Linked DNA regions of Alligator mississippiensis. The protein of the gene in region 2 interacts with the protein of the main gene of each other region in a biochemical or structural test. Links are inferred from orthologs where the notes say so. Each region holds a gene or a part of one and is shown on either strand. Other genes may lie near its edges.

Evidence for each region. The genes of interacting proteins can lie anywhere in the genome.
Region 1: the proteins of guanine nucleotide-binding protein G(q) subunit alpha (region 2) and PLCB1 form a complex in vitro, tested with the Homo sapiens proteins (2 studies listed by BioGRID, with this or other methods). The link is inferred for Alligator mississippiensis from reciprocal best matches to the Homo sapiens genes GNAQ and PLCB1.

The regions. Positions count from the first base shown.
Region 1 is NC_081824.1:224,900,968-224,908,786, forward strand, and holds the start of PLCB1 (1-phosphatidylinositol 4,5-bisphosphate phosphodiesterase beta-1), read right to left. Parts: upstream 3,004-7,819; 5' UTR 2,839-3,003; coding exon 2,740-2,838; intron 1-2,739.
Region 2 is NC_081826.1:199,600,274-199,608,045, forward strand, and holds the start of guanine nucleotide-binding protein G(q) subunit alpha, read right to left. Parts: upstream 3,005-7,772; 5' UTR 2,988-3,004; coding exon 2,852-2,987; intron 1-2,851.

The DNA.
Region 1 (7,819 bases), on a different chromosome or scaffold from region 2:
TATTTGTCATCATCATGTCCTATTGTTTCCTTGAAGTATTCTTATTCCCTCAATGGACCACAAAGGCTCGGGCAAGAATCCCAATTTTTACAAGTCCCTTAATACAGATTCACAGGATAATTAACAAAAACTCCAAATTGGGTGTTGATGGGTCAATAGTACATACTTTACAATGTCACTGATCATTTTTACAGATGAAATTTCCCATACTAGAGTGCCAAAATATGTTCACTTCCATCACAATGTTTCATTCCTGTGGCAATTCCACTGCTGGAAGTACGTGTTGTGGGGAAACATGCTAAATATGCTGCTGTTAATTCAAGTATAAGAGTTAAGGCTAACAACTCTTTATTTCACTATGTTATGCCCATGTCTGCTGTCAAACAGCCGATGATTTTACATAATATAGCCCCAATCCTATATAAACACGCCCCTTTTGCTCCCACAAAACCCTACTGAGATTCAGGGGACTGGGCATGGGGATCTACTCTTTTGCATAAGGTCACAGGATAAGAGCCAGATATTACAGGGCATACCTTAATTTAAAATTTACGTCCTTTCCCAGATTTTGGACATATTGTCTTACCAGAACAATAATGCTTAATATTGTGTTTTCTTTCAGTCTATATAATAAGCAAAGTAAACACATTTTACAGGACGAATCCATTTTCATACAGTGCACCTTTTCTTCTCTAATGACCCACAAATACAGCCTAACGCTTTAGTAACAGCTTTCAACCTAAGAATTAAGCAGGGAAGTATCTGCAAGCATAACTCCACCAGCTTTTCATAACAGGAAAGAATTCAGTCCTAACTTTCAAAGCAGCAATATCAGAAGCATATTGCAAAGAGCCACATTCCTGTCACAGTTACATATCTGAGGGGGCAAAAATATTAGACACGGATTATGTATTTTGCCCAATGGCTTGGATTCTTTACCTGGAAAGTACAAGTTGCCATTAACAGGCTCTCAACGTATGTATTGTTTATGTACTTGTTGGCAAAATAGCATGCAAACATAATTACAATACCAAAGCTAAGAATGTCGCGATCTATAGTCTGGCAAATCTAATCAGCAAGAAGAGCCTACATCGGTCAGCTCTATCCAACTATCAATTAACTCATTCATTCTAGACTCAAAGCTACCTCCAGCAAACCTGATGTTATCTCACTGTTCATTACTGTAAATTAGAGGTACAGGCATGAACCTAACTAGATGGGAACTGTTTAGTAAATACGTCCCACGTTGCTTCAAGATTTCTTCCCAAATTTTGGTGTCGCATCTCACTATAAGTGTGTGTCACAGGTTTATAAAGGTCGGGATCGCACATTTGGTTCCTTGACATGTTGAGAGAAATGATAACTTTGTACTAGGCAACTGAACTGGAAGGGCTGTCACACACATGGACAGCACTCTCTCTCAGCTAGCCCTCTAGCTGTTACTGTGCTTGTCTCCAGGAGTGTAAACTTTACAGCAACACTGTTTGACAGCTACACTAGTGGAAAAGTAGCTCTTAGAAACAAGTTCTCTTTACCGGTTCTCCTATTCCAGCTGCGTAGTGTGCCAAGCTGCCCAATACCTATACTTCTCCACCCCAGCAATTCCTCCAAATACACTTCACTGCCCACCCCTGCCCTTTTAGAGGTATCTGTGTGTGGAAAGACAGACTCCTGATGCTTTACTTGAGGAGCAATTTCTATGGGAACAGGTTAACAGGAAAGCTGTCCCTCTGCTTTGCTTCTCCATTGCTCCCTTAACTGTGGTAGCCCAAAAGAAGATGACAGAAGAATGCTGCCTTCTTCTGAAAAGGTCCCCGGCACAGTCTGTGAGGGATGAAAGAAGTCCCAGCTACTGGGACCACCATCAAGCTACTACACATCTCCATAATGAAGCAGCACTGAACTGAAAAGAAGCAGAAGCAGCAGGTGTTTCAGGGAGGAAAGGAGGCTGCCTGTGTGAATGACCATACTGAAGACAGGAACATACAGGTGTAGCAGCAACAAGTGCACGCAAGAGATTTGGAGAAGTCAGAGATGAAAACACCCTGCGAGATAGATGGTTTTGGTCAGGAAGCATACGATTTCTTGGCAAGGGGGCCACGAAGTGGTAGCCCATTTGCAAAGGCAGGGAGCTGCACTGAGCGAGTGCTGGGTTTAGGTAGGAGACGGTGTTTGTGGGCTGTGTGGCAGGTGGAGAGAAGACAGAAGAAAAGCTGAGCAGGCAGGACGGCGGGAGAGAACAGGGGATGGGGAAGGGAAGAGGAAAGGACTGGAAGGGCGGGTGGAGTGAAAGGTAAGAGAGAAGAGGTGGGATGAAACCAAGCAGTTAGAGCAGGGGCGAGATCCCAGCCAGACCAGGGGAACGGGAACAGGCAAGACAAAGGGAGTTCAGAAAAGTTTTCAGGCTGCAGAGAAAGTTGCTGTGTCCGGAGCCTGAACAACCAGGGCCGGTCACGCAGGGCAAGGAGACACCTTGCCTCACCCTGCTCCCCCACCAAAGCCACCCTCCCCGCTCCCTCTCCCACCCCCAGGGGCACTTAGAGGAGGAAGGGCTCCCCCACCCTGGCAGCACGCCCAAGCCCCGGCCCCCTCCCGGCGGGCACACCCCGCCAGCACCTGGCAACATGTGGCGGGCCGCCAGCTCCCAACATGTGTCCGCAGCAGCCCCGCGGCTGCGCCCTCCCCTTCCCCACGTCCCCGGGGGGAGCCCAGGGCCCGAGGCGGGGGGTGGTGACTCACATCGTCCCACTTGACGAATTTGGTGCCCTTCTTGAGGCCGTCGGAGACGCGCACGGGCTGCAGCTGCAGCGCATGGACCCCGGGCTGCGCCCCAGCCATCTGCGGCACATGGAGCCGCGCTCCCCGGCGGCGAGAGCCGATGGCGCGGGGCGAGGCGGAGCCGCCGCCGCCGCCGCCGCTGCAGGGATGCGGTGCCAGCAGCAGCAGTAGCTCACAGGGCTGCAGCGCGGCGAGCCATGCAGCGCCGCATCCGCCTATATACACATCCGCACGCGGGCGAGCCGCGCGCCCCGCCGCTGCCGCCGCCTCCTCCCAGCCCGCCCCGGCCCCCAACTTTCCCAGCGCCGGGTCACGGCGGGGCAGCGCCACCTGCCGGCCATGACGGGCAGCCGCGGCCGGGGGGGGTCGCGTCGGGACTGGCTCACAGGAAAGCACTGGAGCGGGTTCCCCGGAGCGGCTGCGGGCTCTCCATCCTGCGAGGGCTTAGGTAGGAGGAACGTTTTTCCCCCTGGGAGGTTAGGAAAGCACTGCAGCAGGTTACCCACAGAGGCGGTGGGCTCTGCATCCTCCGAGGGGTTAGCTATTAGGGCATCTTTCTCCCTAGGAGGGTAGGAAAGCACCGGAGTGGGTTACCCAGAGAAGCGGTGGGCTCTCCCTCCTTGGAGGGGTTAGATATTAGGATATCTTTTCTCCCTGGGAAGGTAGGAAAGCAGTGGAGCGGGTTACCCAGAGAGACCGTGGACTCTCCATCCTGGCCGGGGTTAGGTATTGGGATATTTTTTCTCCCTAGGAGGGTAGGAAAGCAGTGGAGCGGGTTACCCAGAGAGGTGGTGGGCTCTCCCTCCTTGGATGGGTTAGCTATTTGGATACTTTTTCTCCCTGGGGGGGCCGGAAGCACTGAAGCCGGTTACCCAGGGAGGCTGTGGGCTCTCCATCCTTGGAGGGGTTAGGTATTAGGAAGATCCTTCTCACTGAGAGGATGGTAAAACACTGGAGTCGGTTACCGAGGGAGGTGGTGGACTCGCCATCCTTGGAGGGGTTAGATATTAGAATATTTTTTCTCCCTAGGAGGGTAGGAAAGCAGTGGAGCAGGTTGACCAGACACACCATCCTTGGTGGGGTATATTAGTAGGGATCCTGGTTTTCGCCAATTAAAAAAATCCCCAACTTCAGTTAAAAAAAAATAACCATGAATCCACATTTTCCCATGATTTAAATGAAACACCGTTAATATATAGATATCAGCCACCTAATATCTGTTGGGCTGGCCATCTTTCAAGAATGCCCGACATTCACCTGCTAAAGAAAATTTTCTGCGACAGTCAAATGGAGTACACATTAGTGGCGCACCAAAGAAGTGGTACAAGGCCTGTGAGAGGGAACAACTCTCAGGGCCAGGTCTCATGCCAGCCCGCCCATCTGTCTCTATGGGGCAGTCCACCCAGTTTCGCCTGCCACGACTTTGTTGTTTCCATAAACTGGTGGTAAAAGTGGGAGACTGCCCATTACATGCCCTGATGCCAGGGGGTGCTATCTGCGGCTCCAAACCTTTCCTACACTACAGCACATGCCTCGCAGATGGCATCCACATGATGTAATCATAACCTACACCATGACTAGTGCTCCAGGGTCTCACAGGGACTCTCACTCCCTCCCTGGAGCTGCAGGTCATTGTGCTTGCCCTTAAGGCAGGCCTACTCCCCCTCTATGCGACTTTGGTCAGGCCGCAGTTGGAGTACTGTGTCCAGTACTGGGCACCACACTTCAAAAGGGACGTGGCCAGCCTGGAGAGGGTTCAGAGGAGGGCCACCCGCTTGGTGAGAGGGCAGCAGGACAGGCCCTATGAGGAGAGACTGAAGGACCTGAACCTGTTCAGCCTCAGCAAGAGGAGGCTGAGGGGGGACCTGGTGGCTGCCTACAAGCTCATCAAGGGAGATCAACAGCAAATAGGCAGAGCTCTTTTCTTCCCAGCACCACCTGGGGTGACGAGGAACAATGGTCATAAGCTGATGGAGAATAGGTTTAGGTTGGAGATCAGAAGGCAGTATTTTACAGTTAGGGTGGCCAAAATCTGGAACCAACTTCCCAGGGAAGTGGTCCTCAGCCCTACCTTAGGCAAATTCAAGAGGAGGTTGGATGATCACCTGTCTGGGGTCTTGTGAACCCAGCATTCATTCCTGCCTGTGGCAGGGGGTCAGGTTAGATGATCTGTTCAGGTCCCTCCTGACCCTAGCTACTATGAAACTAAGGTCTTTCTTTCAACCCACCCTCGGCCTCCTTGCAGCGGAGGACTTACCGGGGTCAGGACTCACCCCTAACTCTCTGGCTCAGCCCCCTACTCGGCAATTCGGTCCAAACTACAGCCTCAGACATCCACGACCATGCCTTGGCCTCTTCCCTATATGTGGGGTTCCTACTACACCCTGTCTAGGGCCTCTACACCACGCCCCACCCTGGGGCTTCTCATCTTCATGATCAACTATTCATGGGGCTGGCCCTTGTGCTGCCCTTCAAATTTACTCCCAGTTTGGCCCAACTCAGAACACCCCTGGGACTGCCCTTCAGACCTACTCTCTTTCAGCTCTCTTCTGGGTGGGGCCACACAACTACTTTCCCCACACTTACCCCCTCTGGGGTCTCCAGGATCTCACATCCCTGCTGGGCTCAGGTGGCACTCTGCTTGCAGTGCCTGGCCCCCCTACTCCCACAGCTGCTTCCAAAGCCCACCCACAGATGGGGGCTGAGGTTAAGGTGACCCTCCTTGCCTTTCACTGGGGAGGTAACTAGCCTGGCATTTCCTGGGGGCTTCCACGCCACTAAGAGCCCCACCAGGCCACCCTTCCCTAGCAGAGTTCAGTTTTAGGTGATGCCCAGGACCACAAGCCTCTTGCTCTTACCTTCCAGATGTTCCTGCTAAAGCTCATCAAGGTGATTTTCTGCCTGGGCTGGCAGCAGCAATCTGCAGCCTTAGTATCCCTTGTTCTCAAAATGGCTGCCATCATCAGGCACCTGGTAGCTGCCTGATTCTGCCTTTAGAGTGGCAGGCACCCAAAGGTGCCCTGTCACATGTCCCTAAAGAGTTTCAGCATTGCCCCGCAGTCATGGGAGCAAATTGCTCGTGACTGTCCATCTTGGAGGTCATTGGTCCAGAGTGGAGCACTGGCCTTCAAGCAGCGGTACATGGCAGAGGCAGTGAGGAATCGTGTGGCCAGGAAAACAAGGACCTCTCAGTCCTCGTCGCTCTCCTGTATCTGCTGCAGCAGATTGTTCAGGGCAAAGATTGGGCTTATAAATCGCCTGCTTACCCATCTGACCTAGCCTCCACCCCCCTCCTCTCTCTTCTTTCTCCCTTTCTCTTTTCTCCCTCCCTTTTTCTTTCCGGCTTCCTTTCTCTCTTCTCCTCCCCGCCCCTCCCCCCAGCCGCCAGATGCAGTCATCTTCACTTGTGAAGGATCAACAACTATATATATAGTGATGTTTCAATTTAATCATGGAAAAATGTGGATTTGGGGTGGGCAGTTTTAACCGAAAATAGGGGATTTTTTTTTTAAATCAGAGAAAATCAGGATCCCTGGATATTAGGAAATCTTTCTCCCTAGGAGGGTAGGAAAGTATTGGAGCAGGTTACCCAGAGAGACTGTGGACTCTCCATCATGGGAGGGGTTAGATATTAGGAAATCTTTCTCCTTAGGAGGGTAGTAGGGTTGCCAGCCCTTCAGGATTGCCCTGGAATCTCCAGGAATTAGATATAAATCTCCAGGAGACTGCAGAGAGTCCCCCAGAAGATAAACGATAGGGCATTCATGAAAATAAATATTAAATGTTGAATCTGATTAAGTAGTCCAGTGGGTTTTTAAAGGTAATAGTCATGTGCATTTGCCTTCCTGATGTAAAGTCTTCACATTCTACTCTCTAACTGATATATGTAAGCATGCAGGCACATTTGTGTTGTGTCGTGGGCATGGTGGCATTGCAGAAACCTCCCAAAATAGATTCAAATGGAGTTGGCAACCCTAGAGGGTAGTAAAACACTAGATCAGGTTACCCAGAGAGGTGGTGGACTTTGGAGGGGTTAGATATTAAGATAAAACTTTTATTAGACCCCTTTGGAGGGGTTAGATATTAAGATAAAACTTTTATTAGACCTACTCAAATAGTTGGAAAAATTCTTCTTTGCAAGCTTGCGGGTATAAATATCCTTCATCAGGCTGAGGAAGCATCTGCAGTTGGTCTATGCTCTTCCTGGATGGAACGAATAGTAAAGAAGCCAGAGTCACTGTTGAGTTTGACTTCTTTCTTTTTCATGTTGTGTAGTTTCCATTTCAAAATGGCATAATTCGATATCTTCCATGTTACAGGGGTATAGGCTGTAGTCATGTTGGTCTAAGGACATAGGCAGACAAGATTCTTTGAGTAAATCTAAGAAAACTCAGCAGCAACGCTATACCCTTACATATTAGGAAGAACTTTCTCATTGGGAGGGTAGTAAAACACTGGAATAGGTTACCCAGAAAGACTGTGGCATGTCCAACCCTGGAGGTTTTAAAGACCCAGATAGGCAAAGCTTGGGTGGGGTGATCTAGTTGGGGCTAGTCCTGCTTTGAGCAGGGGCTTGGACTAGATTTAGTGATTCTCAACCCGTGGGTCATGACCCAAATGGACATCACAAGAATATATGAAAGGGTGGTGAACAAACTTTAAAAATGGATTCTCCTTTAAAGGAGACAAACATGGCAAAACATGGCTTTTCCCTTGCAGGCTGGCAGAATTCCAGCCTGCAAGGGGCTGCCCCCCTCCCCCACCTCACATATCCACCCCCTGCTCCACATGCTGGGGGACTGGGGACAGGGGGTAATGGGTCAGGAGTGGGGGGCACTGTGTGGGGACTGGCCATCTATGTTTTCAAATGGGTCCGGGTACAAAAAAAAGTTAAGAACCGCTGGACTCCTGAGGTCCCTTCCAACCCTCATTTTATATGATTCTACAATGTGGGGGGGGGGGGGGATGTGAAGGCCTTGTAGCATGGTAGAAATAAGGAGTGGGAGAGTCATACATACCGCCCCCTCTCACAGGGCCTCTT
Region 2 (7,772 bases):
CCTGTATGGAGCACTTTTTCAGGATTAAGAGCTCTAGGTGTTAAATCCAACAATTCATATACCATTTTCAGGTATGAAGCCCAACAATACACATACCCCACCTCACCACCCCCATTTTCAGTCATGTGTATGACTTAAAGATGCAAGTTTCCTTTTAATAAAATTTTATTTAAAAACAATTAAGGCATCTATGCATCAGGGACTTCTCTACTGATCTTGCTACACTGGCACGGACACCCAATATAGATGCATCACTCTTTATAAAAAAGAGTTGCACTACTGCAATTTTCTCAGTTTGCCCTAATGAAGCATACTAAAACAGAAGGTCTACGCTAGCATTGAAACAACAGTGCAAGAATCCCTAATACGGATAAACTCTGTATTTTCTTCCAATCTATAAAAATAACAGCCCCTTATTGGTTCTAGTTTTAAATCTGACCCCTTTAATTTGGCTTAAGCAGTGTCAAAATTTGGCCCAGATCATGCTATCAGTCACATGCACTTAATTTTACCAGCAGGCAAATCTTACAAATCACTGAGACTACTTGTATATTAAGTTAAATTCATCCATCATAGACTGTAGAATGGAGCTTAAATCTTTTAAACTATATATTTTGTACTTTTCAATTGTCCTTACTTTTGAGAGAACACAGTTATATCCTTCCACAAATTTTTTACTTCTCCAAAACCTTGGGAGAAACCCGCAAGCATTATTGAAGGAAAACCTAGGAAATGCAGAAACAACTGAGAACTACTGTACCACCAGTCAAATTCTTCTTGAATAAAATGTATAAAACATTTTAGTAAATATCCATTAAAGCACATGCAGGTTATGTTATTCTCTACTTCAAACCTGAAAATGCAAAATTAAACCAAAACCAAAGGGGGAGGCAAGGATTTCTTAGGGTGATATCTTTTATTGGACCAACTATATACATTATTGACTCACATTATTGTCTGGACCATTACGCATACAATGCCACTCTTACACTACCAAAACCAAAGTAATTGTAATGTTAATGTCAACCTCTGTCTCCTCCTGCTATTTCTCCACACCCATTAAAACCCCAATACCTTAATCTAAATCTAAGACCAATATGATTTAATAATATCATCTTATTAAAATAACACCAGGGGAAAGAATGGATTCATAAACAGTCATTTCAATTAATTTGCACTTTGACTCACCTTTAGCTCATTTGAAAGACAATTTACTCCCCAGCATCAACTACCACCTTTACGCATAGTACAAGACAGAATGTTTTGAATAAAATGGATAGTCCCCGTCTTGTGAATGTGAGAGGTGATTTCACAATACACCCCCTGCTCTCCCCAACACACATTCAGACACACAAACACCAGACAGTGGTGCAGACATTTTTCAGGGCCTGTTAGTCCAAGGCACAAAGCTCCCTTACCACAGTGGCTATGCGTTATTACAATAGTCTGGACATGGAGCCTTTTCTTTTCACTCAAGAGGCTTATTTGAGCACATAAGCCACATTTCTAAGAAAGAATTACTTGAAATGGCATTAGCTTCTGCCGAGATTAAAAAGAAAGGCCGCTGTATGCTGTAAATGACATTTCCTAACCGATGGGTGGATTCCAAAGGTATTAAAGAACCTGTCAGTCTCAGACATGCTTGTAGGCTACAAGTCAGTTTCAGGGTGCAGCTCAGGTTTTGCGTGTATGTATGTGTACACACACACTGTATATATATGTGTGTGTGTATAAATATGTGTATAAAGAGATACAGATATAGACCATAAACTAAGCCTATCCCATGTATCTCCGTTTACCTCGTTAAATAAAAATCATAGCTCCAACATGCAGCCAGGCAGCCCCCTTCGCCAGGGCTCCCAGAACAGTACAGACATTAACGCCTGTCACCATCAATCTGCAAAGCAGCTTCCCCCCTCCAGCCCTTTCACTTAGCTGCCGCCTTGCCATTGCTTCTTCATGCCTGTGGCAAACAAGCATCAGTCTCTTCCCTTATCCCTTTCCACCCCCTCAGCCCCTCTCTCCATTTTGGAAGGCCACAGCTAGCCTCCCCACCAACTGAAACCAGAGGTGATTATTGCCTCAGCCACATCTGTAGTCGCAGTGCTGAGGGAGACAATGCAACACCCACCCTTCACCCCCTGCACACATACCACCCTGTGTCTCTTCCCCACCCCCACCCCCACCCGCCTAGTTGCCCTGATCAGCATCACAACGCTGGTGGCAAGTGCCCATTAGAAGAAGGCAGGGAGCGTGGAACTGGAATGGTCTCCTCCATCCACCCACAGGGCTGTGAGGGAGCTGATTCCCCTCTAGTTTCCTCTCCAGCCCTGCAGCCAGACACAGCTGGAGCCAACCATGCATGCAAGAGCAGTGGCAGATGGGTGTGCATGCATGTACACAGCCGCCTGTGTGTGTGTGGGGGGGTATGCATGTGCATGCAAGATCTGGCAGATGGGTGCACATGCGTGTACACAGCTGCCCATGGGTGTGTGTATGCATGTGTGTAATACTGGCAGATGGGTGCGTGTACACAGCTGCCCGTGTATATCTGCATTGGCATATGTGTGTACATGTCTGCCTGTGTGTATGCATGTCATTCTGGCAGATGGGTGCACATGCATGTTTCTGCACAAGTGTGTCCACCTCCGTGCTGTGTTCCTGCACATGCATGTGCACTGCTGCGTGTGTGTGTGTAACTGGCAGACGAGTGCACAACTGCTCACGCGTATGGGCGTGTATGTGCACACGCATGTCCACAGCTGCGTGTGCAAGCGCGCGTGGCGGGGAGCGGCCGGGGCCGGGGCCGTGGCCGAGGCCGGGCGGGCTCCCCGGGGCGCCCCACACTCACCCAGCAGCAGCAGCTTGAGCTCCCGGCGCGCGTCGCGCTTGTCCCGCCGCAGCTGCCGCTCGATCTCGTCGTTGATCCGCCGGGCTTCCTTGGCTTCCTCGCTCAGGCAGCACGCCATGATGGACTCCAGAGTCATTCTTCCCGGCTGGGCTCCGGCGCAGCGCCCACCCCCGCCGCCCCCCGGAGCTCCCGGCCGCGCCGCGCAGCGCAGCGCCGCGCCGCGGGGGACACGCCCGGCCCGGCCCGCACCGCCCTGCACCGCACCGCCCGGCTGCAGGCGCAGGCACCGGCCCCTACCCCCACGCCTCTGCCGGAGCCAACTCCTCCTCCGCTCCCTGCCAGGCACCGAGGAAAGAGCCACCGGGCGGCTCCTCGCCGGCCCGCGCAACCCCCACCCCCGGCGCCGCTTGCCTCCTACTCCGCCTCCTCCTCCCCCGTCTCCCGCCCCAGCCCCCGGCTAATAGCCGCGGCTGCCGGCCCCGCTCTGCCCCGCGGCGGTGGAGAGCGCCAGGGCGGGCTGGGCTGGGCCGGGGGATCTTCTTGCCAATGGGCTTTACTTCCCGCGGCGGACGGAGCTGTCGCCCCTTGTCCCTGCCTCTCCCTTACTACAAGCGGAGGGGGAAGGCAGAGGCACAATATGTATCCAGCAGCCCGACTTGTCAATGGCTCGCCTCTCCGGGCGTGGTAAAGGCAGAAATATGGCGGCCCGTCTCCCTCGCTCTCTCCCCAGCCCACCTCACGGCTCCCTCCGCAAATGCAAACCTTGGGAACATCACCCCCCATCCCCCTGCCCGGGATGTGCACCCCCCCAAGAGCAAGGACACAGCGAGGAGCAAGTGTATTTTTCTCCCCCACCCCAAATGGCCGCAAGGAACATTGTCTTCCACATTTATCCTGTAGGGCAGGATTTTTTATTTTATTTTTTTAATCCCTCATGTTTTGGGGTTGGGGGTGTTTTTTCTTTGTTTTTCTTTTTCTCCCCCCCCCCCCCCCCACATCTGCTTTTGTCTGCCTCTGTGCAGCTTGTAACATGGCACTTTGTTATAGCCCTCCCTTCTCTTCTTGGACGAGATCGTTTGGTAGCATTGCAACAATTCACTGGAGGGGAAAAGGGAAGGCCAAAAAACACAACAAAAACAAACCAATCCTCTCTATGTCTTCAGATGGAAATTAAAAACATTGGGGATAAAAGTTTCCCGGGCACCAGTTGTCACTTGCCGTGCCAGTGAGATCTTCGGGGCTTAATATACACAAGAAGACAAGCAAAGACCTTTCACATCCGTCAGAGCAAAAAAGAAAAGCAGCAAGATACTACTCTTACTGATATGCTACCATTTACACAAATTGATATATGTTTTATCCCTGCAGTAGGGGGATAAAAGCTACCAGGTGTGTGATTTACTTCCCCAGGTCAACACTTCATGCGTTTATACTGTGTAGGATTACATTGCCACTCCAGAGCAATGCCATATGACTGAACATGTGTGAAAAAGATGTGGGGCATAGGTTTCATTAGTCTTTAAAAGTTTTCCACATTCTTCCCTTTCCCACCGCCATTTTAAATTAACCATGGCTGAGAAAATTTGAAGGGACACTAGTTTATAAAGGGGCTAGGCAGTTAAATGTATGCATAGCTCTCCCACCACCAATCTGATGCACATGATGCTCTTTCCAGCACCTGTTGACATAACTATTGAAAATGATGTTGTGCTTTAACAGATCACTGCTGCTACTGAAAGTATGGATTAAATGGTGCTTGCCACAAGTCATTAGACTAGCTGTGACCTTGCAGGTTAAAATGTATTGATCAATACAGCACCTTTTAGAGTGCGAAAATAATTCTTCTTACTTCATAATTTAAAAAATGTATTAATTTGCTCCAAAATGTATGTCATACTATTTAAAACCAGTTACTGCATCTTACTGGTTGTTTTTATAAGCATGCTTCTTTCTTTCTGAAATCAAGCATCATTAAACTCAAAAAGTGTAATTTTTTTTTTTTAGGTTAAATTCTATAATGCTATTTTTTCATTCAAATTTTTTGTAAAAGGCTCTATTTCTTTAAACTGACATGGATGTTGAGATTAAAAAAAAGATCTGTGTGTGTGATTTATGACCCTGATGTATGTATGTGTTAATAATTACTTTAGCAATAACATATAGCTTATAGACATTAGTTTGCAGTAAACATGGTATTTATATGACATTCATGTATGTCATTCTTATGTATGTCATTCATGACATTATACTTACACATACACATTTATAAAATTGGTAATCAGTAATCAAGTGAACGGTGATAACACAATCTTTTTCTTTCCAGAACAACTTCCTCAAAGGCTAAAAACTGCACTCTTGGTATAAAAGGCACAGAAGGCAATAGCACAGTGCAGCCAAGAAACATAAGCATGAATCCCAGGCCACTGAAAAAATTTGTGGCAGCTTTGGAAGACGAGTAGGTGCATGGTAACATGATGGGTGGATCTGCAACGTCACAAGTCAACTGATCGAAAGTCCTCTGCACAGTGAGGGCACAGCTACCACATGCAACTTCAGCCCTCAAAGACCCTGCAATGAAGTAATCTTCCCGCAGTGGAGGAAGTCTGACTCAGCACTCTGTAGACTTTGATAATCCCATTTTATATGTTCACTACAGGGGACTGTAAGAGTCTCTCCAGACTCTGAATACTACTTATATACCAAGAATGTGAAAATAACTTTTAATTTTGTGTTTTCAAAGTTTAGTGGCCCTGTACTGTACTTTATCTGCTTGCACCCCTCTCATTGATACCTGTGGATTATTAACATGTAATTTGAGGGCAGTATAAGGTTTTAAGAGTTTAGTCTTACCCTCCAGTATGTATCTTGGGTAAGAACTCATATACGGGTAGGTATGTGGTAACATGATGGGTGGATCTACAACATCACAGGTCAACTGATCAAAAGTCCTTGTTTATAAGAATATAAATATTCTTATAAATAGGTAGGAATATAAATATTTTCACACCACCTCAGAAAAAAGGTCCATGTATTTTTTCTCTTCCAGTAGCCATTAACCGATGGTTTAGCTGAATAATAATGGTCAGTTATGCAATAATACATCTATGGGAGAAGTTGCTTCTTAACTCTAATCAGGATAATGGTTGACTTTTGTCCAGTGGCTTTATATCTCTTATAGATTTCTTTATACTAGCCAATGTATCTGTGAACAATATACTTATTGCCCATCTGTGGATATGGAACAATTGAACTATTCCAAAATGTTGCAGATGGGAAACTGCTTACAATTGTTGTGAGGCATGGTGTGGACACACATAACAATTAAACCATTCCAAAGGGGGCTGGTTCACAATTTTGTCAAGTGCTGTGGTTCTGACGCCAGGGGCTGGGAGTGAGTGCCCAGGCCAGCATTCCTTGTGATGGACAGGTAAGGAGAAGCAGGTGCTTGCACCCGTGCTTTGGGGTTCCCAAAACATCCAGGAGTGGGTGGAGGCGTTTCCGTTTTCCTGCTTTTTCTTTTCCAAGGGTGGAGAGGGGTGTACACGCAGCCAGGATCACAGCTCAGGGTGTGGATCACTGCCCAGCACAGCAGGCAAATATCAGTCTGCTCTGTGAAGGGGAAGGGGCATGGGGATGGCAGATTGAGGCCCCCCCCCCCCCGGTGAGGCAGGGAGTGAGGAAGGGACAGGGGCAGGGGCTGGGGTGAATGGGGTCCCAGCCAAAGCAGGTCGTGGGAGGGTTGGAGCCCAGGCAGCCAGGTGGAGGGGGGCTGCTGCTGCCCACTGGGCTCTGTACCCTGCTGCTGCTGACACTGCTTTTGGGGCCCCGCAATGCCATGTGCATCCCACAGCTGGGCTGCACTGCACCCCCTGCCCGCCTGTAGATTTCTACACCTCTCTGCCTATCTGCCATCTGACACCACCAGGAAAGGAATCCTGCCTGATCTGCACAACAAAGAGCAACTCACAAAGACACTCTCATGGATCCAGAGGAACAGACTTACATCTTCAGCTTCCTCTGTACAAAAATGAAGTTTATTTCCTACCTATGGGGACTTTTTACCATCTTTAATTTTTCCTGAGCTTGAGGAAGGGCATGTGAGCCCAAAAGCTTGCAGAAAAAGATCGGGTTTTTTGCAATTTCTTTTTTGGTCTAATAAAAAGCATAATCTCTGAACCATTTTATAGTTTTGCATTAATTTTATAGGTATACTTTTGAACTGTTTGGCTAAGTACAAATAGCCAAAAAGCCTGAAGCTGAACCCATTCAATCTTCTTAGGTTAGTCTAACCTGTGTAGACTGAATGGATAAGCAAGTAAACAGACATTCACTTTTGATTTTGGAAATGCAGCCACACGCCTACAGTGGCTGAGGCCAAAAGCTTGAAGGGGAGGTGGGTGCTAGAGCATGCCTCCCAGGACTTGTGGGGGAGGTGCAAAGCATCCTGCAATGCTAGGGTACTGCAAGTTAACTTGAATCGGGAGGAGATCTGGGACAGAAATTCAATAAACCAATTTAACCTAAATCAGTGAAGTCTGATACTACATCCATCTAGGTTTATCTTAAACTGGTTTCAGTCATTTTGAAAGTGGTTTGTGTGCACTGAATTTGTGTCATGTTACACAACTTGAACTGGTTACAGACTTGAACAACATGTTACAGACTTGAACTGGTTTATGATCACTTATACTGGTTCATGTGTAATTTCTGTCTTGAGGCAAAGCTTTAAATCAGTTTAACAGGCTTGCATGTTTGTCTGCTTCAGGTTTAAACTTCATTTAAACCAGCTTAAGTGTTATGTGTATCCATACCACAGATATCTAATCCTGTTTTGAATCTTACCAGACTCTTTGCCTCAATATCTGAGTCCCATACTTTAAGTACATGGTGTGTTGTTTGTGATTTGTTTTATTATTCCACC